Diceros bicornis minor: one gene and its partners. The protein of the gene in region 3 interacts with the protein of the main gene of each other region in a pairwise test. Links are inferred from orthologs where the notes say so. Each region holds a gene or a part of one and is shown on either strand. Other genes may lie near its edges.

What was found. The genes of interacting proteins can lie anywhere in the genome.
Region 1: the proteins of MAX (region 3) and MXI1 interact in binary tests that used the Homo sapiens proteins (3 or more experiments, as listed by UniProt). The link is inferred for Diceros bicornis minor from reciprocal best matches to the Homo sapiens genes MAX and MXI1.
Region 2: the proteins of MAX (region 3) and MXD3 interact in a two-hybrid assay, tested with the Homo sapiens proteins (4 studies listed by BioGRID). The link is inferred for Diceros bicornis minor from reciprocal best matches to the Homo sapiens genes MAX and MXD3.
Region 4: the proteins of MAX (region 3) and MXD4 interact in a two-hybrid assay, tested with the Homo sapiens proteins (2 studies listed by BioGRID). The link is inferred for Diceros bicornis minor from reciprocal best matches to the Homo sapiens genes MAX and MXD4.

The regions. Positions count from the first base shown.
Region 1 is NC_080745.1:74,030,000-74,037,031, reverse strand, and holds the start of MXI1 (max-interacting protein 1), read right to left. Parts: upstream 3,001-7,032; 5' UTR 2,775-3,000; coding exon 2,513-2,774; intron 1-2,512. UniProt on the Homo sapiens protein: Transcriptional repressor. MXI1 binds with MAX to form a sequence-specific DNA-binding protein complex which recognizes the core sequence 5'-CAC[GA]TG-3'. MXI1 thus antagonizes MYC transcriptional activity by competing for MAX.
Region 2 is NC_080740.1:90,522,462-90,529,465, forward strand, and holds the start of MXD3 (max dimerization protein 3), read right to left. Parts: upstream 3,001-7,004; 5' UTR 2,554-3,000; coding exon 2,484-2,553; intron 2,235-2,483; coding exon 2,129-2,234; intron 1,454-2,128; coding exon 1,424-1,453; intron 1,296-1,423; coding exon 1,181-1,295; intron 1-1,180. UniProt on the Homo sapiens protein: Transcriptional repressor. Binds with MAX to form a sequence-specific DNA-binding protein complex which recognizes the core sequence 5'-CAC[GA]TG-3'.
Region 3 is NC_080763.1:14,073,583-14,081,294, forward strand, and holds the start of MAX (protein max), read right to left. Parts: upstream 3,017-7,712; 5' UTR 2,815-3,016; coding exon 2,779-2,814; intron 2,056-2,778; coding exon 2,029-2,055; intron 1-2,028. UniProt on the Homo sapiens protein: Transcription regulator. Forms a sequence-specific DNA-binding protein complex with MYC or MAD which recognizes the core sequence 5'-CAC[GA]TG-3'. The MYC:MAX complex is a transcriptional activator, whereas the MAD:MAX complex is a repressor.
Region 4 is NC_080747.1:1,622,413-1,630,016, forward strand, and holds the start of MXD4 (max dimerization protein 4), read right to left. Parts: upstream 3,001-7,604; 5' UTR 2,958-3,000; coding exon 2,894-2,957; intron 2,794-2,893; coding exon 2,694-2,793; intron 1-2,693. UniProt on the Homo sapiens protein: Transcriptional repressor. Binds with MAX to form a sequence-specific DNA-binding protein complex which recognizes the core sequence 5'-CAC[GA]TG-3'.

The sequences.
Region 1 (7,032 bases), on a different chromosome or scaffold from region 3:
GGCGAGAGTGGGGAGGATACAGTAGCCCCGTGGGCCGCTCCTGTTTGTAGGGGGGATAATAGAGGGCCCCGTGGATGGTCGCCCCTGGTTGTTGGAAGTGACCTCGCCCGCGTGAGCAGTTGGGGAGGGGGCGAGGGCCTGGAGCGAGGTCCCCGCAGCCAAGCTGGGCACGGCGCAGCGCCCCACGCTCTCGGGGAAATCTGGGGGCCGTTGGCATCACGTCATGCAGAGCCAAACAGCGGCGGCGAAAAGAGGCAAGAGAGCTAAAAATACTCCCGCGGGGAGCCGGCCGGAGGGGGGGGCAGCGGGGCCGTGGGGTCGATTACGCACACGAAGTTGACTTTGACTGGGGCGCTGAGGTTCCCGAGCCCCTCTCGGGGGCTGGCGGGCTGGCAGCGCGGACGCCGCGGGAGAGGAACCGGGAGGAAGCCCCTTGGCTTCCTCAGCCTCGGGAGCCGGGCTTGGCGTCGCTGGCCCGCCCCGTGCGGGGACAGCCCGGCCCGGCGCGCCCGGCCCTCTGCTTACGTGACTGGTGGCCACGCCGGAGCCCCGGCACGGGGTAAACAAGGAGGTGGCGGCGGCCAGGGCGGCCGGGGGCGGAGGGAGGTCTCCGATTGTCTGAGGGTGCGAAGGGGGGGCGGGACGCGGTGGAAGCTCCAGCCGCCTCCTTAGTACACCTCGCGCGGGGGGGGGAGGGTACACCAGGTTTGCCACACACTGCCAAGGTGCCCTCTTTGAGTGCACCCCCCTCCAGACCCGGCGCCAAGGGACAGACTCCGGAGAACCGGTGACCCGGGCGGGGGTTAGCTACAGAAATCGCGCCCCTCCCCCTCCAACAAAAGCAAACACACCAAACAAAACCATGTTTTCACCCAGCTCCCCACCGTCTCTGGCTTTTCAGAAACTACCCTCCCGACCAATGCACACTTCCCCCCCTCCCCCACCCCCATGAATAATCGCGAACTGATTCGGCTACATGGCTGGCGATGCGCCTTTCTCGTAACCCAGGCACTCCGAGCAAACGGGAGAGAAGAGAAAGAAAAGAACGCGCCACCGACCTCCCAACACAAATCCTTGTTTTTGCCTTAGAGCTTCTGCACAATTGCGCTGCCAACACTCTGTTACTTTAACCCTGGAGGCCTGGGGTGTCGGTCAGCTAAGGTGTTTTTGTGTTGGAGGGTTGTTGTGTTTTGGGGCAGAGGAGGTTGCAAGATCTGACACGTTGCAATCGGACCATTTTTTTCCTCTCTCGTCTCATTGATCTTCCTACTTGTTCGGACAGATTAAACAGCCTTGTTTTCTCCAGTTTGTTAGTCTATCTGCCTCGGCCCCTTCCCCCTTCTCGCAGCTATTATTGCTATTATTTGTGAGGACCGTGCTGGAGACACCGCACACGCGTGCCCCCGTTAGGGCGCTGAGTCGACTGCCTGGGGAGGACTAGGGGACCCAGCTGGCAGGGGCAAAAATGAAACAAACAAATACAAAAAGGAGGGCAGGCCGGGGTGGGGCTCCCAGCACCCCCACACCCCAACATACACATACACACAACGCATCACTCTCCACCTGAATCGGGGTGGGTGGGGGAGCAGGCGACAGAAATCGACCAGGAAGGCGTCTGCCTTCCTCGCCCTGAGCGCTTACTCGGGAGCCTTCTCGCGGAAAATAAAGAAACCATACACAACAGCCCACACCTTCTTCCCCAACTATTGTTTCCTGCGAGATCCCAAAGTTTCCTTCCAGCCGCGTCCCCCTCGCCAAGTTTCCCGGGCGCAGGACGGCGGGTCCGGGGCGAGCTGCTGGCGCTGCTTGGCCCTGCCGGCCTGTTTCTTTGGTGGGGCTGGGGGAGGGGGAGCCGGTGGCACCACAGGGCAACAGAGGCGCAGGGGGACTTTATCCGTGGACGCGATGGCCTGAGCCCAGTTCTGCTGCGAGAGGGGAGGAAAAAGCAAAGTGGACAGGAGAGAGAAACATAGTCGAGCCAGCCCGAGCCCACGCCGGAGGGCTGTTTGGTGGTGGTGGTGGTGGTTGTTATTGTTGTCGTGTGTGTCTGTGCGTTTTCTTTCTGGAACCGCTGAGCTCTGCCTACGGTTTCCAACTTTCGGCTTCTAATCCCCACCCCACCCAGGAACGAGCGACAGAAAAACAACACTTGTCTGCCCGAGAAGGCTCCGGAAAAAAAAAAAAAAGGAAGAAAGGCGACCTCGAAGAGATGAGCTCTCGGCTCAGTTGTCAGCAAACAACAACACTCCCCCGCTCCTCGGCCAGGCTGTCCTCCCAGCCTCCGGGAGACAGACAGACGGACGCACCGACAGGCCCCCCTCTTCCCCCCTCTCGTCTTTGTTACATCTTTAGCAGCTTTGTGCGTGCGTGTCCTTTCTCCGGTGTCATCGGCTTTACTGCCGAGGGCTGGATGGGTGTGTTGGGGGGAGGGGGGCGCGGGCCGAGCAGGCGACAGGGGTCGCCCAAGTGGGCGAGGAAGAAAGAGCAGGGCGCCGAGGAGGAACAAACTTACTTTTGTTTTCTTTCTCGATCTGCTCCAGGTAGCTGGCGGCCTCGAGCAGGATCTGCACGTTCTGCAGAAAAGTGTTGATGTGCTTCTCCATCGAGTTCTCGCTGGTGTTGAAAATGTCCGAGAAGGGGCACCTGAGCTTGGCCCCCGCGGGCTCCTCGGCCGGGGCCGGGGGCTGGGGCGCGGCCACGGCCGGGGGCGCGGCGGGGGCCAGCCCCGCGCGCTCGCAGCGCGCCTCCTTGCGCGGCCGCCCGCGTTTGCCCATGGGGGGACGGGGGTCCGCGGAGCTCGTCCTCTTCTGGGGCTGCGCCGCCCGGCCGAGCTCAGGGCCCCAGGGGAGAGCGGCTGGCCGCAGCGGAGGAGGCGCCGAGGCGAGCAGGCGACCTGACTTCCCGAGCCTCGCTGCGTGCAGTTGTGTGTTTGAGTGTGTGTGAGTGTGTGTCGGTCTCGCAGTGGGTCTGTGTGTATGGGAGATTGAATGAACCTACAGGACCGACGGAGGCGCTCTGACGCCTGGGTCCTAGTGCGAGCCTGTCGCCATCCGACCGGTCAAAATAAAAGGTGGAGACAAGCGAGGCAGGGACCGCCCCCTGCCCGTCCCCGCACCCTTCCCCGCCTCCCCCCAAATCTTACCACAGTGCAGAGCACTGTATTTTAAGCATAATGGAAAAAATACTCCATGCCTCTGAGTGCACCTGCATAAAAACAAACTACTAAGCTCTTTTTTTCTTCACATAAAAATAATTCCTCATAAAGCAGTCAGCACAATGCCTGGCACACAGTAAGTCCACAATAAACGGTAGCTGCTATGACTTTTTAAAAAAATAAAAGCCTACATTTAAAATTTAAAATAAAAATAAAAGCCTAAATTTAAAAATTTAATCCAAAAAAAAAAATCACATGTAACCTGAAGTTCCCTCCGCCCAGTACACACACTCCTGCGCGCGCGCGCCCGCGCACACACACACATACACACCCTCACAGAGGCACCAGAGTGAGGCACCGGCCTTTCAATGGACCCAATGAAATCCCCAGGCCGCCAAATCCCGGTTACAGATTTACTCACTCTTTCTTTCTCCCTTCAAATGCAAAGGTATTTTCCAGGAAGGGGGAGGAGATGTAAGCATCTCTCTCCACACTCCTCTTCCCAGCCTTGGTCCAGCTGTGCAAAGCTCACACTAGGGTGCCTCCACACCTTGCCTCCCTTTTATTTGATAGCGAGGCAGAGTGGCAGCCCAGGATCCCCTCCACCTCCCTGAACTCCACCTTTTGGCTCTGAAGACCCTTACCCCAGTTGACATTGTATTCACTGCTGCTACTGTCACCCAGTCAGGGTCCGCAGGAACCATGGGAGCTTTCCAGGCCTGGGACCTGTGGTGGGAGTCAGGGGGATAGTTGAGGGTCTTTGAAGAGTGCCATCGAGAAGGGTTCAAGTCCCAGCTCTGATGCATGCAGACTATGTGAGCTTGGGCACGTCGCCTAACCTCTGTTGGCCTAAGTTTCCCCATGAGTGAAACCTCTGATAAGGATTCTTGTGCTGATTAAACCATATCTGCCGTTAGCACACTGCCTAGCCCATAATAAGACCTTTTTCTTCCAATCTAGACCCAGACAAGAGCCTGGGTACCCTACTTGCATCTAAGGGAAGAACAAGCTACAGGAAACAAGAATCTCCTGCACTTCATTGGAAAACATCTCTGCAACACACCCATGTAAATATTGTCACCTTGCGAGGCCACTCGGAGTTTTCCTCCAGAGGAACCATTTACATAGAAGACACAATGAATGCTGCCCCCTGGAGTTGTGCGACCCAGCCACCCTGTTCAGAGGCAGCTTTATACACATTTGTCAGGAAGATTCTTACTGGAAATGGAAACTTTTTGAAAAAAGGAGAGAAAGTACATTTCTTTGTAAAACACTCACTATGTAAAACTTACAGTGCACACACCCTTACAGAGCCTTCAACACAGTCTTGCGTACTTTTAGAATATAATAATCTGCTGCTGATATGACAGGAAAAATCAGTAATGGGCATTTTAAATGTATTCACTTTTTTTTTTTTTTGGTGAGGAAGATTAGCCCTGAGCTAACATCTGTTGCCAATTCTCCTCTTTTTGCTGAGGAAGATTGGCCCTGGGCTAACGTCTGTGCCCATCTTCCTCCACTTTATATGTGGGATGCCTGCCACAGCATGCCTTGATAAGCAGTGTGTAGGCCCGCACCCGGTATCCGGGCCTGGCAACCCCAGGCCGCTGAAGCGGAGAGCGCAAACTTAGCTATTACACCACCGGGCTGGCCCCATATATTCACATTTTGAACCATAATATAATCATACTATACATTCATACTATACATACTCTCTGCTCATTTTCCGTCTTGTGACAAATTTTGATTGGTTGATCTCTGCATCCTTTGGCTAAGGCAGAGTAGAAGCTCCTAAGAGCTATGAGATAAAAGTTCACCTTCTAATATCAGAACAACTACTGATTTTTTGTTCCTGTTGGAACCTCAACCTGACTTATTCATGTTTAAAAGTCTATAAACATCTAAGGACTTTAGGAAGGTACAGTTTCAAACAAGTTTTATCCAACTTCATTTTGCAAAAAACTGGCGCTTATGTGAAACAGCCATGGCCTCCCTTGCCCCAAAAGTAAGATGATACTGAGACCATGAACCAACTAATCTTGGAGGAAACCTTGGTCTCTCTTTAATTCCTCCATGGAAGCATGGGCCAAATATGCATATATGCAGTACTATGACCTACATGTATGTATATCCATACCCACTGAGACAGGCACAGCCCACATATGAGAGAGGGGCAAGGGTAGGGTGTTTTGTAATTATTTATTTATCCCTGTTGCATCTCTCATAGGTCTGTGAGCTGCAGAAAGCCCAGTGGGAATCTTCAAGCTGGGCCACGGGTCTGACCAAAGCCAAAATAAACAATGACTTGAAGAAAAATCTACAAAAAAGTGCTGATTTGCACTATTCCCACAGTCAGCCACAGCCCCCACCATCATTCCCATGGAAAACACCACTGCCAGTGCCAAATCAAGTTTTCCCCCCATCATAGGGGCATTGTTTTTTGTTATTATGTGAGTTCTTAGCATCAGACAATGGCACCACAAAAAACACAGTGGAGGCAGGAGAAATGTCTTTTTGTTTTGCAAAGTCTGTGCTATGGTGCCCCAGAGTCTCGCGTATGGTATAGTTGCATATATTCATTTTGGTAACATATATGTGGAACAACAAATGTGCCAAGCTAAAGCTCAAATCCCCTTCTTTTTTTTCTGATCCCATCAAGTGTTAAATCATGTTAGCATCATATTGCTTTCTCCCTCCTCCCCCACCATCCCCCAATTAACAGATTTCTCTAATAAAGTTGGCCCCAACAGAAAGAGTTGTGTTTCAGAGGTTATATCATGGGACAGGCATCCAGGATGCTGGGTTACAAGCTCAGCTCCATTCCCGATTAGATTTGCTTCCCAGGAGGAGCCATTCAAACCCTTTGCACCTCACTTTCTCCGGGGCTTTGACTCCATAAATAAACAGGCCTCTTTGGAAACTTGCTGAGAATTTCTGCAGAGAACAGGTAGGGGATGAGAAGGCAGCCAGCCTGATAAGAACATGTGAACTCTTTGGAAAAAAAGCAGTGACTTTTTGCAATGCCCAACAAGGCCAGCCACGATGCTCTCAAAGGCCCAAGAGATCTGGGGTGTCTGCTCAGCCTGAGTCTTGTTATCCCAATCATCTGTTTCTTTGTTTGGCCTATTTGCCTGTTTGGTAATGTTTCTCCATCAATCTTGTTTGCATACTAAAGCAAGATCACTCTCTTTTATTTGCCCCTCTTTCCCCCCAGACATTCTACACTCTTACATCAAAGGAGTTGTTTTGCCTATAATTATGGCTTCAGGTGCACAGAGGCTGGTTAATTACTGAGACAGAGATAGGAGAGTTTCCCCCAGATCTCCCCATCCTGCATCGGCATGCGATGGGATGCCCTTCCCTGTAGTCCTGGACCATTTTGGCTCTCCTGGGCTCCCTAACCTGGCTCTTCCCAGTTATTCATTCTCCCCTCACTAGCCCTTTCTGCCTAAGTCCACCACCACTGTAACATCTAGCTTTTCCTTGGACCTTGCCGGCACGGCTGGGTCAGGTTTTTCCCTGCTCTTTTACCTGTGGTTTGTACTCAGGCTTGGTAAACACCATCAAGAGATCTTCTGTCCACTCCATTGTCACTTGCATCCTAATCCCCAGAGCTTTCCTAGCCAAGTTTTTCCTGGGCACCTTTCCCTTTGGAAAGGGATCGTCTGGCAATGAGCTGAGGAGGTGGCTCAGGGCTCCTTGTCTCTTTGGGAGCCTTCATCTTGTCTTCCTCTATTAAAAGGGAGGAGTGGCTCCAAGGAAAGCCCAGAAGTAGAGGTTTAGGGACTTACGACACAAGCAGAAGGGCAAGAACAAGGAGCACTGTGGGACTGCCTCTCCTGCTGGCTCCTGGCACAGCCTTGAGAGTGCTGACCAGG
Region 2 (7,004 bases), on a different chromosome or scaffold from region 3:
GGAAGGTTTTCAGCAGGAGACAGACCTGCACAGATCTTGTGCTGCAAAGAATATTCTGGGGCAAGGTGGAGGACAGCCTGGTATAGGCAAAACAGGAAGCAGGGAGTCCAGGAGAGGGGTGATGGGGCTTCAAGGAAGGAGTAATCCCCAGGTCCTGCCCACGGGCCAGCCAGCACCTGAGGGGCATCTCATCCTCCAAGAACCAGGCCAGGCAAGCTCCACGTGAGAAACTGGGGCCCGCCACCCGGCCAGGGTTTCATTCAGCCACAATGAGGGGAATGCAGGCACCCATCGGGCAGTGGGACAGTTCCCACACCTGATTTATTTGCTGCGTGGTACGTGGATCTGTCTCTGCCACGGTCCTGGTACTGGCAGAGCGGGTGCTCAATAAATACTTGTTGAAGGAAAGAATGCAAGTCAGGAGACCTGGGCCTGCGTTCTGAATCTGCCTCTCCTCAGCTGTAGTACCTGGTCGTTAGCCCGGATGTGCCCCCGTTTGTCCCTCTGTCAAAAGGGCCAGGAGGGCAGGAAAAGGCCTGTATTGGTCCCAAGGCGCTTCTAGTCCCCACGCTGGGACTGCCGGGGCTTGAGTCAGCACACCCCACCCCTGTCCACCAGGGGTCGCTGAGATCAGCCCAGGCAGGGCAAGGGTCCTGCGAGGACAGGTGACTGGCATCCTCTCAGTCCTTTCCCCTCCTGGCCACTGGAGCTGCCTCCCAAAGTGGCACCAGAACAGATCACCCAGAACAGGAGGCCTTGAAGGATGGGGGAGAGGTAGAGCAAGGACCAGCCCTCTGCAGTCAGAGGGACCCTCACACATGACCCATCACAGAATCTTTTCAACAGCCATGCCCCCCACACAGAAGAGGAAGTGAAGTCCCGAGAGGCTAAGTGACTGGCCCAGGGTCTCACAGTTGGGATGGAAGTAACAAGAGCTGTAATAACAACAGTGAATGCTTATTGGGTGAACTCACTTAAGCCTCAGAACAATCCTCTGAATTATTTTCTGCTTTTCTTCCTATTTAACAAATTTGGAAACCAAAAGCATATAGAACTGTCCCATGTCACCCAGTTGGGCTGTGACCTCAAGCCTCTCTCCCCAGTTCCACCCAGCCCCTCCCTACTTCTACGCGTCACCGTCCTGGCAAGCTGGCCGCAGGATGCAGGGTCAGCTCCTTACCTGGATGTGCATCCTGGCACGGCGCAGAAGGCTCAGCGTGGTGTAGCGGGCACAGTCAGCCCCCAGGGGCATCTGCTGCTTCAGCTGCTCCAGGCACCGCTTCAGCTGGGCCCTCCTGCAGAGGAAGGGGTCTGGAGGGCAGTGCCAGCCCTGCCTTGCTGGCCAGAGGGACAGCAGGGAAGGGAAGGTCAGAGGGAGGCAGTTCCTGGGACCTGGTGCTGTCAGGGCAGGGCTGGGACTCACCTGCGCTTCTCCAGTTCGTTGTGCACAGACCTGCCAATGCCAGGGAGGATGCGGTGAGGGGGCGTTAGCTACTACCCACACCCTCAGTCCCAGGGTTTCCAGGGGCTCAAAATCCACCACAGATGTCTGTCTCAACTAGCCCAGTGTGGGGACCTTGTGCTGGCCTTGGTCACCTGAGTCCCCAGGCAGAGGCAGAGACACACAGGGGGCCAAATACTGAGAGAGTCCTGCCCAGGTGGCTCTGGGGTCCAAATGAGGGCCCCCACCAGCAGTCAGGAAGGAATTCCTGGACAGAGGTGACAGTTGAGCTGTGCCCAGCAACACAAGTTACTCAAAGCAGGTAGTGGAGGAAGAGGCATTCAAATTGCGGGGAACAGCATGTGCAAAAAAGGCTGAGACGAGGAGCGAAAAGGATTGGAAACCTGTGGGGGAAAGCAAGTGGTTTATGTGGAGTGTAGGGGTGAATAGAGGCGGGACCCAGAACTGTCTTGCTCACAGTTCCTGACACATCAAGAAATAGTCCTTGAAGGAATGGAAAAGCGTGTGTTTAGAGGGTGGGGAGATGGCAGGAGGGGTCTGAATGCCTCCAGAGCAGGGTACCTGGCCTAGAAGATGTAAGCAACAAGGAGGAAGTGGGCAGAGGAGGGGCCTGATGAGAGACGGCGCCCATCCCCCCTACTCCCCGCCGCCCCCAGCCCTCCTCACCGCCCACTGTCCAGAGCGCCAGGAGCTTGGGAGGGTCGCTTCCTCCTCCTGTGGACGGGGCCCGGACTGCGGTGCGGGCACAGGGACGCGTAGCCATGCTCCGCCTCTGCCAGAGAGAGCCCCCGCCCGCGTCAGGCTGGGGCTGATCCCAGCGGGCGCCCCTGGCACAGCGCGGTCAGGGAGGGGCTTTTGGCGCGAGGGCCATTTCCCCAACCCCTCCCAGGCCGACTGCCCGCGGACCCCTCTCGAGTGGAGACCCCTAAGGCCATGCATCCTTCAAGTTGGGATCCAAGTCCAGCCCAGGCCGGTGTCAGTGAGGTCGCCGCCTGGAGTCCAGCCAAGGGTTCTTCCTCACCTCTCTCGCGGCGCTCCAGGAACTCGGCCGCCTGCAGCAGGACCTGGATGTTGCTAGCCACGGGTTCCATGTCGGCGACAGCTGGCGCCGGGCGGGCCTGGGGTGCTGGCGGGAGGAGCGGCTGCACCACTTTTGTTACAATGTAACTGACACGGTGCAACAAACACAAGCGCCCGGCCCCGCCCCCAGGGCGCCCCGCCCCCGGGACGGCCCAGCTCTGAGCCCCGCCCCTCTGGAATACGCCGGGGAACCGCAGCCCACCCTCCGCGAGCCTTCCGGCTCGTCCCCTCGGACTCCTGCGGGACTGGGACGGGCGCCGGCTCCAGGCCTGGCCCTTGGGTGAACCCCTGGGCTGGCTGGTGCTGCGTCTTGCCCTCTCTGCTCAGCGACCCCGTGCTGGTTTCTTGGAGTCTCTGGGCCTCAGTTCCCAGCCCCGTACGGATGGGGAGGGCAGGGTACAAGAGTGGTGCTTTGGGGTCCCCCGGTCCCTGGGAGGCCCCTGGCTCCGGCGCTGCACGTGGGCCCCGCGGGGGCGGAGCGGGCGGGCGCCCTAGCCCATTTGCCCGCTGCCGCCTGCGGCTCGCTGTCGTCACCCTCGGGGCGGGGCCAGGCAGCCTCTGAGGCACTACTGGCTGCGCGCGGCCCCGCCCTCTCCCGCTGCTGGTCAACACGTTCGGGCGGGAAAAGGAGCAGGTTTCAAATTTGAAAACCTGGGCGGTGGGGGCGGGGTTGAGCGGGGAACGTGGCCGCAGTGCGCAGGCGCTGGGGGAGGGGGGCGCGGGTCCGGCTCGCGCTCCGGGGTCTGTCCCCTCGCCTGCCTGCCATCTGCCCCCGAAGGCCCCCGCTGGGCCTCAGCTTCCTGTTGTGGCGAATGGGAATAGTCTCCTGCCTCCTCCTCCTCATCTGCAGGGAAGCTATTGTTCGAAAACGGCAGTAGGGGACCAGCTCCCCAAGCCATCCGTACCCTGGAAGCACGCAAACTGGCTGGCTAGAGAGACCTGGGTTCTGGAGTCAACAGAGTCGGGTTCCTCTCCTGTCACCGCTGCTCTCAGCCGTGTGACTTGGGAAGTGATCTCCCTCCTGTAAACTGGAGAAGCTGCGACAGCGTTGTAGAAGGATCGGAACCCAGGCCTATGCCCTGCCCAGGACGTAGGAGCTGCTCATCTCTCAGGCCGGTACGACCAGACGCAGACATCCTCCCACAGAGCCCCTGGTTGCCTTAGAGTCCACGAGCCCTTCCTTAACGTGACTTTCGAGCCTCCCGAAGGAGTAGCTGCAGTGACTTCTAGGGGCAGCGCCAGCAGGTGTGGCCACACCTGCGGGGACAGTGATAGTCTAAGGGTGGAGACAGGAAGATAAAAGCAGCTGTTATAGGGTGAGCATTACTGCCAGGCTGGGGCTGAGTCTGTGACTGGGAAATGGAGAGGAGGGAGAAGGAGGGACTAGATCCTTTATAGAGACAGTGCTGGGTAAACACACGGCACACGACAGTTAGCCCTCAGTTTCTTGCAAAGAACCTTGAGGTTTCTCTAAGAGTCAATCCCAGAGGAATCACTGACATGCTCAGCCAAGAACTGCTGCCCAGGACCATCCACCCATTCACCTAACCATTCACTCATGAAAGATTTGCTGAGCACTTACTGGACCCCAGGGACTGTGCTGGAGTACAGAGAATAAAACAATGGGCAAAAGCAGACAGGTTTCCTACCTTTGTGGAGCTTGCAGGTGAGGAGAGACACGGAAATAGTAATCACACAATAGAGTTGCAGCTTTGACAGGTCTTCACAGGAAAAGACACAAGGTGAGTGCATATCCTAAGGAGCATTTGACCTAATCAGGGAGGTCAGAAAAGGTTTTTCTGGGGAAATGGATGAATAGGTGTTACCTATATAGGAGGGATGTACAAGAATTCCAGACACAGAAAGAGCAGGTGCAAAGGCCCTGAGGCTGAAAGGAATATATGCAGACTGAAAGAAGGCCAAGGTGGCTAGCACAGAGAGAACAAAGAGTGTGGTGCAGACTGATGCTGGAGAGGCTGGCAGGGTCCAGAACAGGCTGATGGGTTCCCCAAACCCTCACCCCCAAACAGTTATGTCTGAAGGAAGGAATCACAAGGCTTGTGAATGAATTTCCAATTTTATTTCACTAAAGTCAGCCCCCACACAGTGCAGACACAAACCTTCTGGTCAGACATCTGGGACCTAAGTGGCCTGGCCTTGGGGTGGGAGTAGGATCAGGGGGAGGGATTCTGAAGGAGGAGAGTTCCCAGCAGAGTAAGGGACTGGAGGTTATGGAAGTGAGGCAGGTGCTGAAGGGGGGCTGGAGTGACCACCTCATCTTAGGAGCCTCAGGTAAGATTCGAGCTAGGGAACAACATGGAGGCCAAAGTCAGCTTGGCCTCGGGCCCCCATGAATATAGGTCAGGGCCACTGGCCAGGAGGACAGGAAACAATACCTCCCAGGGAGCAGGGTGAATAGGGAGAGGGGGGTTCCTGCCCCAAGCCCTTGGATGCCCCTCTGGGCACCTTTGAGGAAATGCTAGTGCTAGTGGCAACTGGAGAAGGACTGAGCAGAGGACCTGGGTGCTCCTGCCCCCTCAGCAGTGACTGGTCTTAGAACCTCTGTCCCAGACTCCCAGGTCCAGCCTGAACCCTGGAGCCCTGTGGGCTCCCCAGCCCTCAGCCTGGCCTGCCCAAAGTAATGTGGCTATGCTGCCTGCGCTTCAGTGCAATTTCTGTCGGGCAGTAGTGTCCTCTGAGCTCCAAGGGACAGAGCCTACATCTGTGCCCTGGGTGAGAGGCGGGAAGGGGACTGCAGGGGCCCCAGCCCCAGGCTCACCATCTTCTCCCGCCCTATGGAGAGGATGCAGGAGATGGGTTCTGCTGTCCCGCCAGAACCTGTCCCCCCTTTCACCTTCTTCCTTACAGGTGACAATGGCAGTCGGAGGGAAGGGGGGAGGTGGGGCAGTATTGGAGCTGGGGCCTGGCTCAGATCCTTGACTCCTGCCCAGCCCTCTTCCTGGGCTCCCTGCCCCCAAGCTCTCCCCTTCACTCAGCCTCCTGTCTTCCCAGAGAGTAGCACTCCTGAGTCACGGAGCTAACCAGGTCACATCCCTGCCGAGAGCCCCACCTGGGCTCCCCTTGCCCTCAGGACAAAGTTCAAGCTAGGCTGCGCCCCTCCTTTTGCCACGGCCGGTGACATGCCATGCCCTTACCCATCTCCCTGCCTCTGCCATCTTGGCTTAAATATCACTTTCTCCAGGGCCTCCCTCCTTTAGGGCATCCTCCCAAAACAGCGGTGCAGCTGTGTCCCTCAGGGTCAGCCTCTTCCACCTGACTATGACCGCATGACAGAGGAAGCCAGTGCTGAGAAAGAGGCTTGGCTGAGCCATGGGGAGGGGGTGGGGGCTTTGGTGTGCCTGGGTCTCCAGGCCCACAGGAGGCTGGTGGTGTAGCAGTCAGCAGACCCCCAAGTTGGAGGCCACTGCTGGAATGCCACCCCCAGGCTGTCAGGGGCAACACGGCACAATGATTGACAGAGTCGGGGGGGGCCAGCTGGTCCCTCACTTGATATTGCAGGGGAATAGACCATGAGGCAGGCCTGGCTAGACTACGTCTCAGAAGTGGCTGACAGTCCCAGTTACCCTGGGTGGGGCCACCCGGGAGAGGCCTCTGTAGGACCTGTAGTATGTCTTTTTTTTTATTCCTGATATAAGTGGTTTGTTTCTCTCTGTCTCTGTCTCTCTCTCTCCTTGATAAGTCTTGCTAGGAGTTTATCAATTTTATTAATCTTTTCAAAGAACCAACTTTGGATTTAATTTGCTCCTTTATTCCCAGCTGCATAAGGTGAGTATGTAGATAATTCATTTTATTCCCTTCTTCTTTTCTGCACATTGCTTTAACTGCATCCCGCAAACTGTGATGTGTTATGGTTTTGTTTTGTTTTTCATTTAGAAAGAGATATTTTCAAATTCCCTTCTGATTTTTTCTTTGATCTGAGACCTATGGATAAGTTGAAGTGTGTTCTTTAGTTTCCAAATATTTGGGAATTTTCTGGATATCTTTTTGTTATTGGTTTGTAATTTAATTCTGTTGTGGTCAGGGAATATACTCTTATGATTTTGACCATTTGAAATTTATCAAGGCTTGTATGGTCCAGTTTATGATCTATCTTGATGAATGTTCCATAAGCACATGTAAATAAACACATCCTCTAGTTGTTATGTGTAGTGTTCTTAAAATGTCAGTTGGATTAAGTTGGTTGATTGTGTTGTAAAAAAAATTTTTATATCCTTACTGATTTTTTTTGTCTACTTGTATCAGTTACTGGGAGACAAGTGTTAAAATCTCCAACTGTAATTGTGGAATTATCCTATTTATCTCTTCGGTTCTGTCACATTTTACTTTATATATTATGAAACTCTATTATTGGGTGCATATACATTTATGATTGTTATATCTTCTTAATGACTTAATTCTTTTAGCATTGTGAAAAATCCCTCTTTATCTTTGGCAATCTCTT
Region 3 (7,712 bases):
CTGCTGTGATCATCTTGTGCCAGATAATATTTACAAGTCTCAGCAAGTAGACGTCAAATTAAAAACAAAGGATCAAACCCACTCTCTTTGCCCATCCCCAAAATCAAAGGGAAAAATCCTAGGCACCTTAACACCAAACTAAAAATATCTATACAAAACAATGAGATTAGCATCCTAGGAGAGTGTGAACATTTTAATAATTTAATAAAGCAATTTACATCAACACCCATGCAGATGGCTATTTTGAGAAGCAGAAAGCTTTCAAGTACCGTAAACCAAAATTTCACAAAGAAAACTTTTCTCTCACTGGAAAGCCAAGGTAATTCCAATTCAAATGATTCTGCAACAGAAGTCTAACCAATCCCTATCCTCCAACCCTGATCAAGCCCTGGGGCAGATTTTATAACTAGAAACTTGGAGGAAAAAAATGTTTTAAATAGACTGAGTCCCAAACGTGAAACTCTATGTTCACATTATTAAGGATAATAGTAACTGAAAAAAAGGAATTGAATTTTCAAATACATGTCTAAACTAAATATAAGTATCTGATGATATTTCAAGGAGAAATAAAACAAAATATTTTTAGTGACTACTACCCAGGGGTAATTTTTAAGACCCCTGGAACAAATGGATCCTTGGATTTTATGGAAACATCAGCTCTCAATAAATAACATCTTTCTTAATGCCTCTCTGCTTGGACAACCTGCAGAATCTTTGCTTGCTCTAATGAAGAGCAGGTACAAGTAAGAGGGCTTGTTTTTACCCTGTGGTAATTAAATTCTTAGACTAGAGGTATCAATGTGGCATCCTGCAAATTCTAACAGGCCCCTAAGCAACCTGATTATCCCACACATCATTTAAAAAATCAAAAATATAACATAAAAATCTGGATTTCTAATCTTTCTTTAAAAACAGGAAGATCTGGCAACACTGAGCCCTCACTCCCACATAACAACAACCCCTTGGAGTTCAGTGGTTGACTTTTTAGAAAAGGCATGTGCTCTCCAGTACCCTAGTCCTCACCTCTGCCCTCTACTTGATTCCTGACTATCTCGCTGCCTGGGCCCCCGACAGGCACTGGAATTTTTGACCCCCATTCTATATACTTCATACTGTTCCCATCTGTCAAATATCAGACACTCTGATATACTTATTTCTCTTCCTCTCTCTGATTCTGATTTTGCGTCTATTCTTTTTTTCTTTCTCTAATCTATTCACGGAACACCCACAGTACTGTCGCCGACTCCAAAGACATGAGATTAGTGTCTATCTAAATCCATAGAACCATCTACTGAGAACATTAATACTAAAACCCTGAGAAATGACTGATAACACTGTATGGTCTCAACCATCACCTTTTAGCAAACTTATCTCCGCAATGCCACTTTCCTTCAACAATTCTTCTATTTTCTTTATACTTCTTCAACTCAAATATAGTCAGACCACAATAAGCTGTATGCAACACTTTCATACTCAACCTCTGGCTCCTCTACATTGCCAGTTTCTGTATTAGAACACCACCATGTTGTGCTAGATTCTATAGGTCTACAGCAGTCACATGATTTTTAGTTCAAGATAATTATTGCATGTGGCTTCAGCTTCTATGCAGATATACACAACTATGCAGATATAGTTTAGAACCTACTTGTTCCAAAGTAAATCTTCTGACCACTTTGCCCTGAAATACAATACTACAATTTACTTTAATTTTATTTCTCATTTCCTACGTATATAGTGACAGCTAGATCCCCCATCGGAAAACTACCGAACGATTCATTTCTTTGCATACAGCTCCTCTCCCTCACCTCCAGTCACCGGAACTTATCACCTGAGAATCTAGAATTATGAGATTTGCAAACCCGCTCCCCCCACCTAGAACCCCAAAACAAGGCCCCACCTCACCTCAGCGGTTAACAGGAGAGTTTACTACAATATTAAAAGTAATAGAACGATCTCTTTTTCTCTCTGACCCCAAAAAGGACTAGAACTGAACGGAAATGAAAATGAAATGGAGAGTAGGAGACGTACCGCAGATTGAAACCTCGGTTGCTCTTCCTGGAATAAGAGAGAAAAAAAATAGAAAATATAGAAGTTATTTTTACACTTCACATTGAATAATAAGAAAGAAAATGCCGGCGGCGAAGGAAGCGGCGGGTGGGGAGTCAGCCCGGCCCCCCCTCCTTCCCTCCCCACCCCACGCCCCCATCCCCCCAGCGGGATCCGGTAGCAGGGCAGGGGGGTCCCGAGCGCCGCCCCTCCTTCCGGGATCCGACCCGGGCCGGAGGGAGTCCAGAGCAACGTCTTCTACCCTCGGACCCAGCTCCGGGCATCTGGGCATTCCCAACCCGTCTCCGCCCTCCCTCAGCCCCCAGAATCCGCGGGTCACGGGAGGAGGGGATCGCGGACTGAGGGAGCAGGTCCTGAGCGCCGTCCCTTTCCCCAACATCCGGACAATGGGATCTCGGGCGCACCCCGTCCCTGTCCCCCGGATCTTGGGCGGGATAGGGTGGGAGCGGGAGGCCGCAGCACCCTCCTCCACGGGGGGAACTGGGGGTCCCAGAGGCCGCGTGTCCCCTCCCCACCTCCAGTCCCAGAAGGCCGCTGCGGCCAGGAGCCCGGAGAGGAGCGAGCCGGGAGCGCGACTGAGACGGTCCCGGTGCGGGGAAGGGGAAGGAGGCGGCGGCTGCCCAACCCCCTCCTGCCGTCGCCCGGGTGAGAGCCCCGGCCGCTGTCCCCGCCTGACAACCCGCACGGGAAGGAAGAAGCCCCAGGACTCACGTCGCTCTCCACCTCGATGTCATCGTTATCGCTCATTTCCTACGGCCCAGGGAGCGGCCACTGCAGCGACGGCGGGGAAGGGGGGGTGGAGGGGAGGGGGAAGTCACCGACAACAACAAGCCGAGTCCCCCCACACACACACTCACTCACTCACTCGCTCTCGCACTCACTCACTCACTCACACACACACACAACACGGGCGAGAACCACCTCCTCACTGCAGCACCGGATCAACGGCGGCACGCACGCCCGGTCGGCCCCCTCCACGTGACCGGGCTCGTCACGCTGGGGCTGCCGAGACTTGTAGTTCTTGTCCTTTTGACTGACGGCCCAGCTAACGCCAGAAAAACTACAAATCCCATAAGGAACTGCGGCCAGTCGACGCCAGCAGGGCTTGTTGACGGAGCCCAGAGCGCCTGCGTGTCCCGTGGAGGGGGATGGGGTGCGGAGAGAGAAGCGGCGCGGTGCCTGCTGGGAGTTGTAGTCCTCAGACCGCGAGTTGTCAGGAGGCTTTCCTCCCGAGGCAGCAGAGGAGGCTGCTGGGAAGACAGGACACGTGGAGCGAGCTGGGGCTCCTGGAGCCGGGCACTGTTTGAGCGCTGTGGGCCGGGCCCAGGGGACAGGGTGGAGGCTCTGGAGGAATAGCCGGCTGCCTAAATAACGTTGCCTCTCTTTGCTGCGACTGGTTTTACTTTGTCTTCTTGATGCCTGAGTCTCTGTATTGCGCCTTGGGGCGTAACCCGCCAGCGGGGGCATCCCGCTGTGGAGGTCAGTGGCGCGGCTCTGGATGCCCCCTGGGACCCTTGGGATCTAGCTGTAGGGAGGTGTCAATGTATTAAGTGGTGTTACAGGACAGCCAGGATGACCGCCTCGCTGAGGGACCGCTGCCAGCCACGACAATCTTGTATTCATTCATCGGGAGGGACCATCCTTGCTGCTCACGTGACGCTCGTAAATTCACAGACCTCCAACCCTTAACAATGGTTTACGTGGAAGTAAAAGCCTCTTCTGAGTTTGTGGTAGCCCAGGCAGTTTAGGGAGTGCCCCAGTTCGGAGTATCATAATTAAGAATTGCAAAAAATATCGAAGTGGGATACTTGTGCAGCTTCCGATTCAGTTAAAATCATATTTAAATACTGTGGCATGAGGGTTGATCATATCCATTCCACCAATATTTATTGAACACCTAACATGTGCCAGCTTGGGGACGCCATAATGTATAAGACTGAAACAGTCCCTGCCTTCATGCGCTCGCAGCTGTGTAAACAAAAATGAGACTGCCCTGCCACCGTGTTAAGAATGTACAAGTCCCACACACACAAAAAAACAATCACAAGACACTTTCAGACCTGACATAAACAAAGTAGCTGAACTAATCTTTTACATTTGGTCTCCAAAATGAATGAAATCTTGAGCTTTTCTTGTAAATTACTGATTCCCTAATGAAAACCATTTTGTCCCTGACTTCTGGATACAGAAATTTGGGGATATGTCACGACCTTTGTGACATATCTCCCCATGTGAGCATATCATCCGTGGTGAAGAGACAAATGTAAACATAGTAATCTTTCCTTTACATTTTTTCCATTAAATATCAGTTGTATTTTTTATCCACTCTTTGAAATCTGAAATCTACATGTCTTTGCAAGTAAACTTATCTTTTCTAAATGCTTTTGTCTCCTAGGCTTCTTTCACACTGAGTCAGGCAGACAGGTATAAGCAGACCATTATGTTATAAGAGCTGATGTACTCTATGGGAGACGGGGAAGGTAGCTCTTGGGTGAGTTAATTAGCTGGATGTTAGAAGTTAGGGCTAACACGAGTACAACAAACAATTATTGGGGGCCAGTTGTGTGCAAATCACTGTAGGGCAACCCTGGCTACAAGTTAAAATCACTCCAGGGCTTTTAAAAATTCTAATGCCCAGGCTGCACCCCAAACCAATTAAGTCAGAACCTCTGGGGTGAGAACCAGGCAGCAGTATTTTTTTAAAGCTCTGCAGGTGATTCCAGTGTGCGTATACATAGAGAACCATTGCTGCAGAGGATGCCAAGATAAATAAGATAGTCTTCCACTGAATCATCTACTTTACAGGAGTGAGTTTTATGGTTTGTTAATAGTTATATTTCAGGGCCGGCCCCGTGGCTTAGCGGTTAAGTGCTTGCGCTCCACTACTGGTGGCCCGGGTTCGGGTCCCGGGCGCGCACCGATGCACCGCCTCTCCGGCCATGCTGAGGCCGCGTCCCACATACAGGAACTAGAAGGCTGTGCAACTACGACATACAACTATCTACTGGGGCTTTGGGGAAAACAGAAAAAAGGAGGAGGATTGGCAATAGATGTTAGCTCAGAGCCAGTCTTCCTCAGCAAAAAGACGAGGATTAGTATGGATGTTAGCTCAGGGCTGATCTTCCTCACACACACACACAAAAAGTTATATTTCAATAAAGTAGTTATAGAAACTAGGATAATCTTTTCACATCCAGAATCTAAAACCTGATGGGGGAGTAAATTATGAACACAAATAATTGCAATGAAGACAGACTATCTAAGTGTTAAATTAGCTATACAGGCAGTGAATGCTGTAAGAGCTCAGAGGAGGGAGAAATATTCCAGGTCTGAGGTGGGGTGGAGAGGTGTTGGTGATCAGGTGAGTCTGCTTAGGCTGTCAGTGCCATCAGGGCAAGGACTGAGTCTGCAGAGACTGGGTCAGATTTTGGTGACTATGAATCTCCAGTTGTTGGGCGGAGGCCTGTGCAAGCAGGCAGAGGTAGGAGGAAAGGCTTTCCAGGAAGAGAGACTGGAGATCTTAACACATTTGTTTTTAGTGATTGATAGAATATGAAGACCTGTCAACCCAGTAAAGAAATTTGACCTAAAAGACATAAAACAGTGCACTCAACAATTGTAGACTATGTTCTTTTCAAGCACTCATGGAACGTTTATGAAAACTGGCTGTGTTCTGAGCCATAAAGCAAATAACAACACATTTCAAAGGACTGTGATCTTAGAGAGCAAGTTCTTGGACCCAATGCAATAAAGTAGAAATAATAACTAAAAGATGATTAGAAAATCCTCATAAGTTTGGAACTTAAGAAACACTTTTAAGCAACCTAAATGGAGAGACTTTCATAAACAAGGCATATATGCAGGAAAGAACTAGACATATGAGAACAGAAATGTCTTCTAGTTTTCCTTTTTAGTACATTTCTTTTTTTTTTTTCAATTTTTTTTTTTGGGGAGGGAAGATCAGCCCTGAGCTAACATCTGAGGCCAATCCTCCTCTTTTTTTTTTTTGCTGAGGAAGGTTGGCTCTGAGCTAACATCCGTGCCCATCTTCCTCTACTTTATATGGGACAGCGCTACAGCATGGTTTGACAAGCAGTGCCTCGGTGCATGCCAGGGATCCGAACCTGCGAACCCTAGGCTGCCTAAGCGGGGCACGCCCACATAACTGCTTGCGCCACTGGGCCGGCCCTAGTACCTTTCTGATGTGAATAATAATCTAGGACTCTAAGAATTCATTTCATCTCTGCACGCTTGAGTGTCTTTGGTAAAGCCTTGTGTGAGCTTATTGAGACTGGGCCTTGTCACTAGGCCGCCCAATCTAGCCCTTCGCTACTTCGAGTTTGCTCTAGTGGTATTCACATCATCAGGGAGTCCACCCCGGGCCTACTAACTCAGATGTGCATTGTAACAATATGCCCAGGTGATTCATGCACACATCAGGGTTTGGAAAGCTCTGATGAGGGTGGAGGGGGATAACAAGTGGGGAGGGCAAGCAGACGACGTCCATTCTCTCCTTAGCTCTTTTACAGTTGGGCCTCCACTCTACCACTTGACTAAAATCACTCTTACCCAGGCCTCCAGCTACCTCCTTTTTGCTAAATCTGGCAGGTGCCTTCTTTACTGTTGACCCTTGTCTTTCTCGAAGGCCATGAGCTCTCCTGTTTTCTTCCTACCTCCTTAGCTGCTCCTTCTCTGCTTCCTCTGGTTCCTCTTGCCCTGTCAGGGTTTGAGTTCCAGGGGCTCTGTGGTGGCCCTCACCTTTTCCCTGTGCACCCTCTGCCCAGTGGGATCCTCCGCTTCCCAAGGCTGTCATGCCCATCTCTCTGACGGGGACCCCAAGACTGAATTTCTTGCACTCTAGATTGTTATATTCCATTTATTTCTGGACACGTCTACTTGGACTATTCCACAGGCAATTCGAAACTCAAGGCTTATGGATGAATGAGAAAAAGTAGGTCTGACACAGCATTTGGAGTATGATTCATTCCTATAAAATTGAACATATCTGTACGAGTATATATGTGTAGAAGGATATTCAGCAAAAAAATGTTAATAGCATTTGTCTCTGGGAGGTGGAATTTCCAATGATTTTCCTTTTTCTTTTCTTTTTAAGTGAGCAGCATCATTCTCACCAAAACAGTAGAGCTATTAAAAGACAACCACTACCTCAGTAAGTCGGTTATCTTTCCTAAGCAGCAAACTTCTCAAGCTATAATCCCTAGGAAGACAGCTCTATCCTCTCCTCATGTCACTTATGCTTGCTTTCTCCTTATTTGGGGGAGAGGGTGTAACCATGAGAGTCCCAGCAGGAAACAGCTGGCACACTCAAATTAGGATCATGCGAGGAGTTTTTAAGAACGAGCTTGTTTACAAATATGTGGGCAGGGTGTAAAGAAACTACAAGGGATTGTGCAGCACCATGGGGACTCTGTGCCCACCCCTGGGCCTGCAGGGGAGAGGGAATGAGTGGTTATCGGAGCTGGGACAGGGCTGTATGGAGAGGGCCCTCTGACAGGAGCTCAGACCTGGGGCCTGGAACAATTGGATCTGGAGGGCCAAAAGGAAGACCTCTGGCACAGCCAAGGACCCTGTCCTCCTCTTCTCACATTTTCAGAGAGCGCTGGAACTTCTGATCCTTCTCCACC
Region 4 (7,604 bases), on a different chromosome or scaffold from region 3:
TGAGCAGAGAGCCCAAGCCACCTCAGAGCACACCCAGATGGAGCCCTGTGCCCTCTACCTCTCACTCCTTCCTGGCACTTCTGCTGATCTCTGCCTGCCTGCCCTCACTCTCTCCTGCTCCAGGAACTCAGGACTAGATGTCTCCCGTCCCCACCCCTCAGGCCAGAGTGCGTGCCTATCCTGCTTGCCTCTGCCACCTGCCATGGCTCGTGGCTCCACCATAGCCAACTGGGACCCAAGGCCTCCCCTCCTCCCACTGGGGCAGCCAGCTCCCTGGGCCTCCCCGTGCAGCCTCAGGAGAGCCTCCAGCCCCACAGGTTCCAGGGACCTCGAGGGTTTGCTGGTCACATGGGCTGGGCAAGGAGCCTCAGAACCTCTGCCAGGGCTGGCTAAGGCCAGGAGGGGACACAGCCATCGGGCTTCTTGCTGGTCTGAACCTCAGCCTTGCGGTGTGGGTCTGTAGGTCTGCTCACTTGTGAAGAAAGTAAGGGTCAGTGAGTGCCCTTTAATACAGAGAAGCCCGCCCGCCCCCTCGCAGGCTGCGCTGGACCTCGTCCTGGAGGAAGAGGGACAGCCAGGGGACGGAGAGGGGCCCAGAGTCCCTCCTGGGACTCCTCCCAGGTCCAGATACCCGCAGGAACCTTGCGGGGAGATTCCTCACAGGTCCCAGGAGCACCCTGTCCCGGGCCATGCTTCACATGGTGGCCGGAGGAGAGGCGGAGAGGTGGGACAGCCCGCCTGGGGCTATACTAAGCGCGTTCCTGGCATCACCTCGCTTGGTCCTCACTTCAACCCCTCGACATCTGCCCACTTCCCTGTAGGACCTGATCCCCAGCAGGCTGGCTCCAGGCCCCTCCTGCTGAACCACTGCCCCTGAATAGTCCTTCCTAAAGGCCTGGCAACCAATGGGGCCGCTGTCCCCCCACAAACGTTGCCCTCCTGCCCCACTACCCACCCTGCACCCTGGCCCCAGCTGTGCTGGAACACAGAAGCCTTGCAGGTGTGGGGCTGCCCTGCCAAGTCAGAGCCCCGATCCTCCGGGCCAGGACAGCCTCGAGGAGCCATCCCTGTGAGCCCTGGAGTGCCTCAGGCACTGGGGGGGTCAGGTTCTGCCCAGAGGAACCAGCAGGGAGGTGCACCGGAGCCCGTGAGACCCTCTCGGTCCCTCCCGGCGCCCTCAAGGTCTCCATCCCAGTAGAATGCAGAAGGCCAGCACCCCACCTCAGAACAGGAGTCCCAGAGGCGAGAGGGTGGCCCCGGACAAGTAGTTCAATCTCTCTATGCCTCAGTTTCCTCAGCCCCAAAATGGAGATAAAAATAACATCTCCTTCATGGGCTTGGGTAAATATTAATCAGCATGTGCATGAAACACAGTACATAAGAAGCACCTGGAGAGCCCTAACTACAATTCTGGTGATAAGCATTGGGGACCCCCTACCATGCAAGTCCAAGGTCACGTCCCAGAGTTTTCCATGGGTAGCTGGGCACTGGGGACAGCAAGACCCAACAGGAGGGGCCTGGCTAGCTCACTGAGGAGGCCTGAGGCCGTGGTACCCCCCCCCCCCCACGCATGTCCTTTCCCAAACTGTCCCCAGCAGGGGACCAGGGGCTGGGACTCAGAGACATGTCCAGCCAGGGCAGATGGAGACTCAACCAATCCTTTGCCAGGCCCAGGGCGCCAGGACGTCACAGGAGATTGGTCCTTGTGCCAGCCTTTCTGTTTCCCAAGAACGGGCAGGCCACAGGAATGAGCCGCACCCTCTGCCAAGGGGCCCGGAAGCCCCCTGCAAGCACAGCTTCCAGCCTGGTGACATGGTCGGGGGCCAAAGTGGGCCCCTGGTCAGTGCCAGGTGTGCTGCAGTCCTCATGGCAGCCAGGAGAGTGGAACCCACGGAAGCCCTAGCTGAGGGTCCCCACTCCCCACCCAGGGAAGTGCATCCCAGCTGCAGGGCTTCTGCAGCCTGGGTACAAGGAGGGGGAGATTACTGGCACCAGGAGGGGCTGCTGCATGGCAGCCTGCCCCCTCTTCCGGCCCGCTTAAAAAGGGCCTCTTGTCCCAAAGAAGGTGACCCCTACACTTGTGGCTGGAGTTTCACTTGTGTCAAAAGGCTGGGCAGGAGTGGTGCGCACCACGGGAGGGCTGGGGGCCCAGGGCAGGGCCTCCATGAGCCTTCTTTGTCCAGGCGCCTGGCGGTGTGGGGACTCAGCCCAACAGCAGGCTCGGCCCTTGGAGACAGTCGGAGAGATGCGGCCCACCCACCCGCGGCGAGCAGAGGTCAGGGCTGACAGCCCCACGCTGCTCTGCACGGAGCCTCAGTTTCCCCGGATCTACGGGGCACCGGCCAGCGCCCACTGACAACTTTTTTCCTGCCCGGAGAAGTCGAGAACAACTTGCGGGCGGGGAGCGGCTGCGGGAGGAGACCCCGGGCGGCGGGCGCTGTACGCGTGGCACTGTTTACGCGAGAGGCCGAGGAGGCGCGGCCGCGGGAAGATGGCGACGGCGCGGGCGGGGCCGGCCGGGCGGGGTTGCGGCCGCGGCCCGGCGCGCCTCCTCCTCCAGGCTGGCCGCCGGGGCGCGCGGCGGTGGCCGGGCTGCGGGACGGGGGTCGGGGCCGGGGGAGGGCGCTCCCGAGGGGTGAGCCCGGGCCCCGGACCGGCGGTGGGGTGGGGGACGGCTGCGCGGGGGGCGGTACCTGTTGTTCGGGGCCTTGCGCAGCAGGCCGGCCGCCTTTGTTTTCTTCCTGGCGAAGTCGCCGTCGAAGGGCAGCACCGAGGCGTAGCCGTGCTCGGCCTCTGCGGACAGACGGCGCGGTCAGCAGGCCCCCGCCCTGGCCCCGGCCCCGCCGCCGCCCGCCAGCCCGCGGCCCGGCGCACAAAGGGGCGCGGGCGCTACCTCGGTCCCTGCGCTCCAGGTACTCGGCCGCCTCCAGCAGGATCAGCAGGGAATTCAGCTCCATCCTCCCGCCCGCCCGCGCCCGCCCACGCGCTCCGGGACGGCGGCGGCCGCTGCCCGGCCCCCTCCGGCCGGCTCCGCTCGCCGCCCGCCCCGCGCACCCGGCGGCCACTTCCCCGACTCCCGCGGACTCGCTGAGCGCTGGGCCGCCACCCTCCGCCTCGGGCCCTCAAATTGACACATAAGGGCGAGCGGCGGCCGGCGCAGCCAATGGGGGCCGGCGTTGCGGCTCCGGGGGCGGGCGCTGGGGCGGACCCGGGCCAATGGGAGCCGGCCGAACGCCTCGGGCCTGGCCGAGAATGTTGACAGATGCTAAGCTCGGTTCCGATAGGCCGCCGCTGTAGTAACAATTTAGAAGCCCAAGCTTAGCAACAGCACGTGGTGGCCCGGCCCCCGCGCGCGCTGACTGGCGGCCGGCGTGCATGTTAAGTAGGCGCCGGGCGCCGATTGGCCCAGAACGGTCTATGTAAAATAGGGCCTGCGGACCAATGGCCGGCAGCGGGGCGCGCGGCCAATGAGGGCGCAGCGGCTGGACGCGTTGCCGAGAGGAAGCGAGCGCGGGGGCACTGCCCGTCGCCCTCGCCGGGGCCGGTTAGGGCGCGGGGAGCGTCTCGTGCGCCCCGCGGTTTGCCGGGGCTACACAGTGTGCGCAGGAACCTGTGGCCCCCGGTCCCTATGCAACACTGGCTCCGCGGGAACACCGGGCCTCGCGGTTTCCTCGGGGTCTCGCGTGGGGCTGCAAAACGACACCCTCCCTGCCGGACCTACAGTGACCCCAGGAAAGGCCGGGGCTTGGAGGAGGGGGCTGGACGGTCTGAGCCTAAGAACCAGGTCTCCTTGAGGATCTCAATGAGAAAACAGGCCCAGAGAGGGAGGGGTCCCTCAGAGCTGCGGTGGACCCCAGGGCCGAAGGAGGAGCCCTCGGCCTAGAGAAGGGGGTCAAAGGTCTGTCGCCACGGTCGGGAGGGGCTCCCATGAGTTGGGGGCTGCGTGCTCGTGTCTGGTCTGAAGGGTGGGACAGGCGCTGGCCAAGGAAGTGCTTTCTAGGGAAGGGAGTTGCCTCCGTGAGGGGGAGAGAGCTCCTCATCAAGCTGGCGGGTGGCCCTAGTGGAGCTCCTGAGGAGGGGACCAGCAGGCTGGAGAGTGTGGGAGATAGGGTGGCTGGACCCCCGACAGAAATTCTGAAGGGGGCGGGGGTCGCTGCTGCTGCCAACAAAACAGAACAAGAACTATAAAAACCTCAGCACTTTCAGTCCTAGGACCTATTGGAAGCTTTATATGTATTTCCTCGTGTGTTTCCGCATCCCCAATTTACAGAAAAGGAAACTGGGAATCCTGAGGTTTAGGGATTCACCAGGGTCTCCCGGAAATCCTAGCGGAATGATTAGTGCACCCATACACGCGACCCAGGGCTGGTGACACAGGACCGTGGAGACCAAGCCATCTCCTGGCCCAACATGACTTCTGTGATCTGAGCAACGGGTTTAGGAATATTCCTGCTCCTGCCCCACAGTCACCCCAGGGCCAGGGCAGAGCCTGTAACAAGAGCTGGGTGCTGTGGCCCTCCAGGTTAGTCTGGAAGGCTGCACAGAGCTGTGCAGGGTAAAAGCAGGCGCCCAGCTCTGAGGAGGGCCGGGTGCATTCTGGGCTATGGGAGGCAGGATCCCAGGCTCACCATCAGGGCATCAGCATTTTGCAGGGTTACTCCATCCCTGCTTACGTGAGGGGTGGACTGCTGACCCCAATCCTAAAGCCAGCCTACACCTTGCCTAGTGGGCACCTGCCAGATGCCCACCTTCCTTCCTGCCATGGGGCATGAGGTGCACTCTGTGCCACAGCAGGTGGTGCAGGTGCCCAGGTGTGACTGCGGGAGCCCCGAGCGTGCTGCCTACCAGCCTGAGATGAGATGGGCTGGTCCCCCACCCTACCTCCATCTACATCTACGGCATTTTGGGGACCCCTCCCCCAGCCACACCCAGATGCTCTGGTGCCCGCGGGTCTCCACACTGCCTGTGAGTGTGGTGGGCCGGGTCGACGGCGTGAGCGAGGGGCTGGCAGGAGGGCGGGGTCTGGCGCGGACACAGATAGGCGCCGCGTGGGCCGGATGGCGTGGGGGGTGGCGGGGAGAGGAGAGGAGAGAGGGAGCGGCAGGCGGGGTGGGGCGGGTACTCAAGCCGACCTTTTTCTGGGCCTGTTGGCGGGCAGGCAGGGGCAGAGCCCCCAGGGGAGATCCCGGAGGACGCTAAGCCATGAGTTAGGGGAGCTAGCGGGGAAGGCCGTAAGGGGGGTGGGTGTTGGTGTCTCTTGGGGCCAGCCAAGTCTGCACACCCACAGGCCTCACCATGCCACCCCAGGTGGGTGCATAGGCACTACAGTGGTCCTGGGGCCTGATGCCCCCTGGGTCTGGACTGGCTGGCCCAGAGCCTGAGGATGCTGGCACGGTGCCACCCCTAGACCCACTTCTGTAGGGCAGGTCTCTGGTGGGGCTGTATCACCTCCTCCAGGGAGCCTTCCCTGAGCCCAGGGTAGGCCAGCTGCCTCCTCATCTAGCCCCCTCTCCCACACCTGCCCAGCCCTTCCTGCCCCTTCTCCAGTGCAGGGACCCGTCGGAGCGGCAACCAGCAAGGTCCATGCCCAGGAGGGAAGAGGCAGACATCTCAGGCCTCCTCCCTCTGGGAGCCCAGGCAGCCTACCCTTATCTCCATGTAGAGCCCAAGAGGGGGCTGTGGACCTCCCCTGCCCCTACTCCTGAACCCTTTCCCACACACCTATGCCGCCTTGGGCCCTCCACCATGCATTCCTCCTGGACCAGCCCACATTCCCCTCGCTGCCCATCCTCCTGGATTGTTCTCCCTCACTGCCCTTTGAGGGAGCCCAGCCCACCCCAGAGCTCCCAGCTAGGGGCTCTGGGAAGAGGGGCAGGCGTGAATCTAGAAGGAACTTCCCAATTTGGGTGGAAGTACAGGTCTGCCTGGGCTTCGTGGGATTCCCCCCCATCCCCACCCCAGCTTCACTCCCCTAGCTACAAATGAGAATGGTAGGACCCACCTCATCTCTGGGGGCATTTGGAGTATGGCATGAGGATTTCTGGTCCCAAAGCTTGGGAAAGACTGGTTTATTCCCCACCCCCGGGATCATGTGAGAGTATTCAAGGCCCTAAGGAGACCTGAGGGAAAGAAACCTCTAGAAGACTGATTCCTGGTCTCCCCCACACTCACCAGGCCCTGGTTCCCTTTCTCTGGACCCAGGATCCCCATCACCGCCACATATACTGATTTGGGAACATGTCTCTGGCTCTCAGCACAGCATTAGGAAGCACCCCCACCCAGGTGGGAAGGTCTGAGAGGCCCTTCCTCCTCCAGAGCCTCCTTCTCACGCTTCCAGGATGACCGGCCCTGGCCCCACCTCCTCTCTTGTCTCCTCAGTCACTGGGGTGGACTCCCCGCTGCCACCCAGGTCCCCAGCCCAGCACTCTGGGCAGGAGGCTGAGACCAAGGGGCTGCCCTGCCCACTTGGGTCGGCTGGAATCCTCCCACAGCCTGCATCTCCTCAGACCCTGGGGGGGTGGCAGGTTTAGACAGCTCCCTGCAGGCAGGGTCTGGGTCTGGGGAGCCTAGGGACAGAGCCTGGCCGGGGGTCATCGGGCGCTGGAGAGCCCAGCATTGCAACCAGCCTCCTAGAAGTGTTGGCTCCCCTGCACCAAGATGGCTGGTGTGTCCAGGACCCGGGGAGATCCTGGGGGGCTTCTGTCACTGGGTCCCTCCCTCAAAGCTGCCCTAGATTCTAGTCTAGCCACAAGACCTTGGCCAAGTCACTTAATCTCTTAGCTGGTTTCCCCAGCTACAAAAGGAAATTTACAGTACCTGCCTCTGGGGTGGTTGTGGGGTACAATGAAGGATGCATGGAAAGCCCTGGGCAGCAGTGGGCTGGGCACAAAGGGATGCCCAGGAAGTGGCAGGAATATTAATCCTTGGCCCTACACACAGGGAAATGGGGCAGGGCCTGCCCAGTCACGATCAAACCTAGGGTGCCGTGGTAGCTGCCCAAGGTAGCCAGCCACGGGCACCAGGCCAGGCCTCGGAGCATTTGGGGGCCTTCAAAGTTTACCAGTCAGGAAAAAATTACCTCCAGAACACAGTAACAAGACAGCAAAACCAAGATGCATGAAGATGTAATTAAATGTCTGCATAACCTAACATAATGTCAATGTTATTTTTAAATTTAAAATAAGAAAACGGGGCCAGACCCGTGGCTTAGCAGTTAAGTGCGCGCGCTCTGCTACTGGCAGCCCAGGGTTCGCCAGTAAGGGAAAAAAAAGAGGAGGATTGGCAATAGATGTTAGCTCAGGGCCAGTCTTCCTCAGAAAAAAAAAAAAAAAGAGGAGGGTTGACATGGATGTTAGCTCAGGGCTGATCTTAAAAAAAAATAATAAGAAAACAGTTCATTATATTTGTGAACAATTTGTAGGACAGATTTTTTTTCTCACTTTACAAAATTTTCCCACTATACTCAATGACCCCTGGAAAATGCAGATAATTGTAAATTAAATGAATTTCTTATAGCCAGAAATGTCCAAAAGCAAAACAATTAAATTTTCTTTTAAAAATTTTTTACAGGACAAAAAGTTATGAATGAGGGGTGTGGTGCAGAT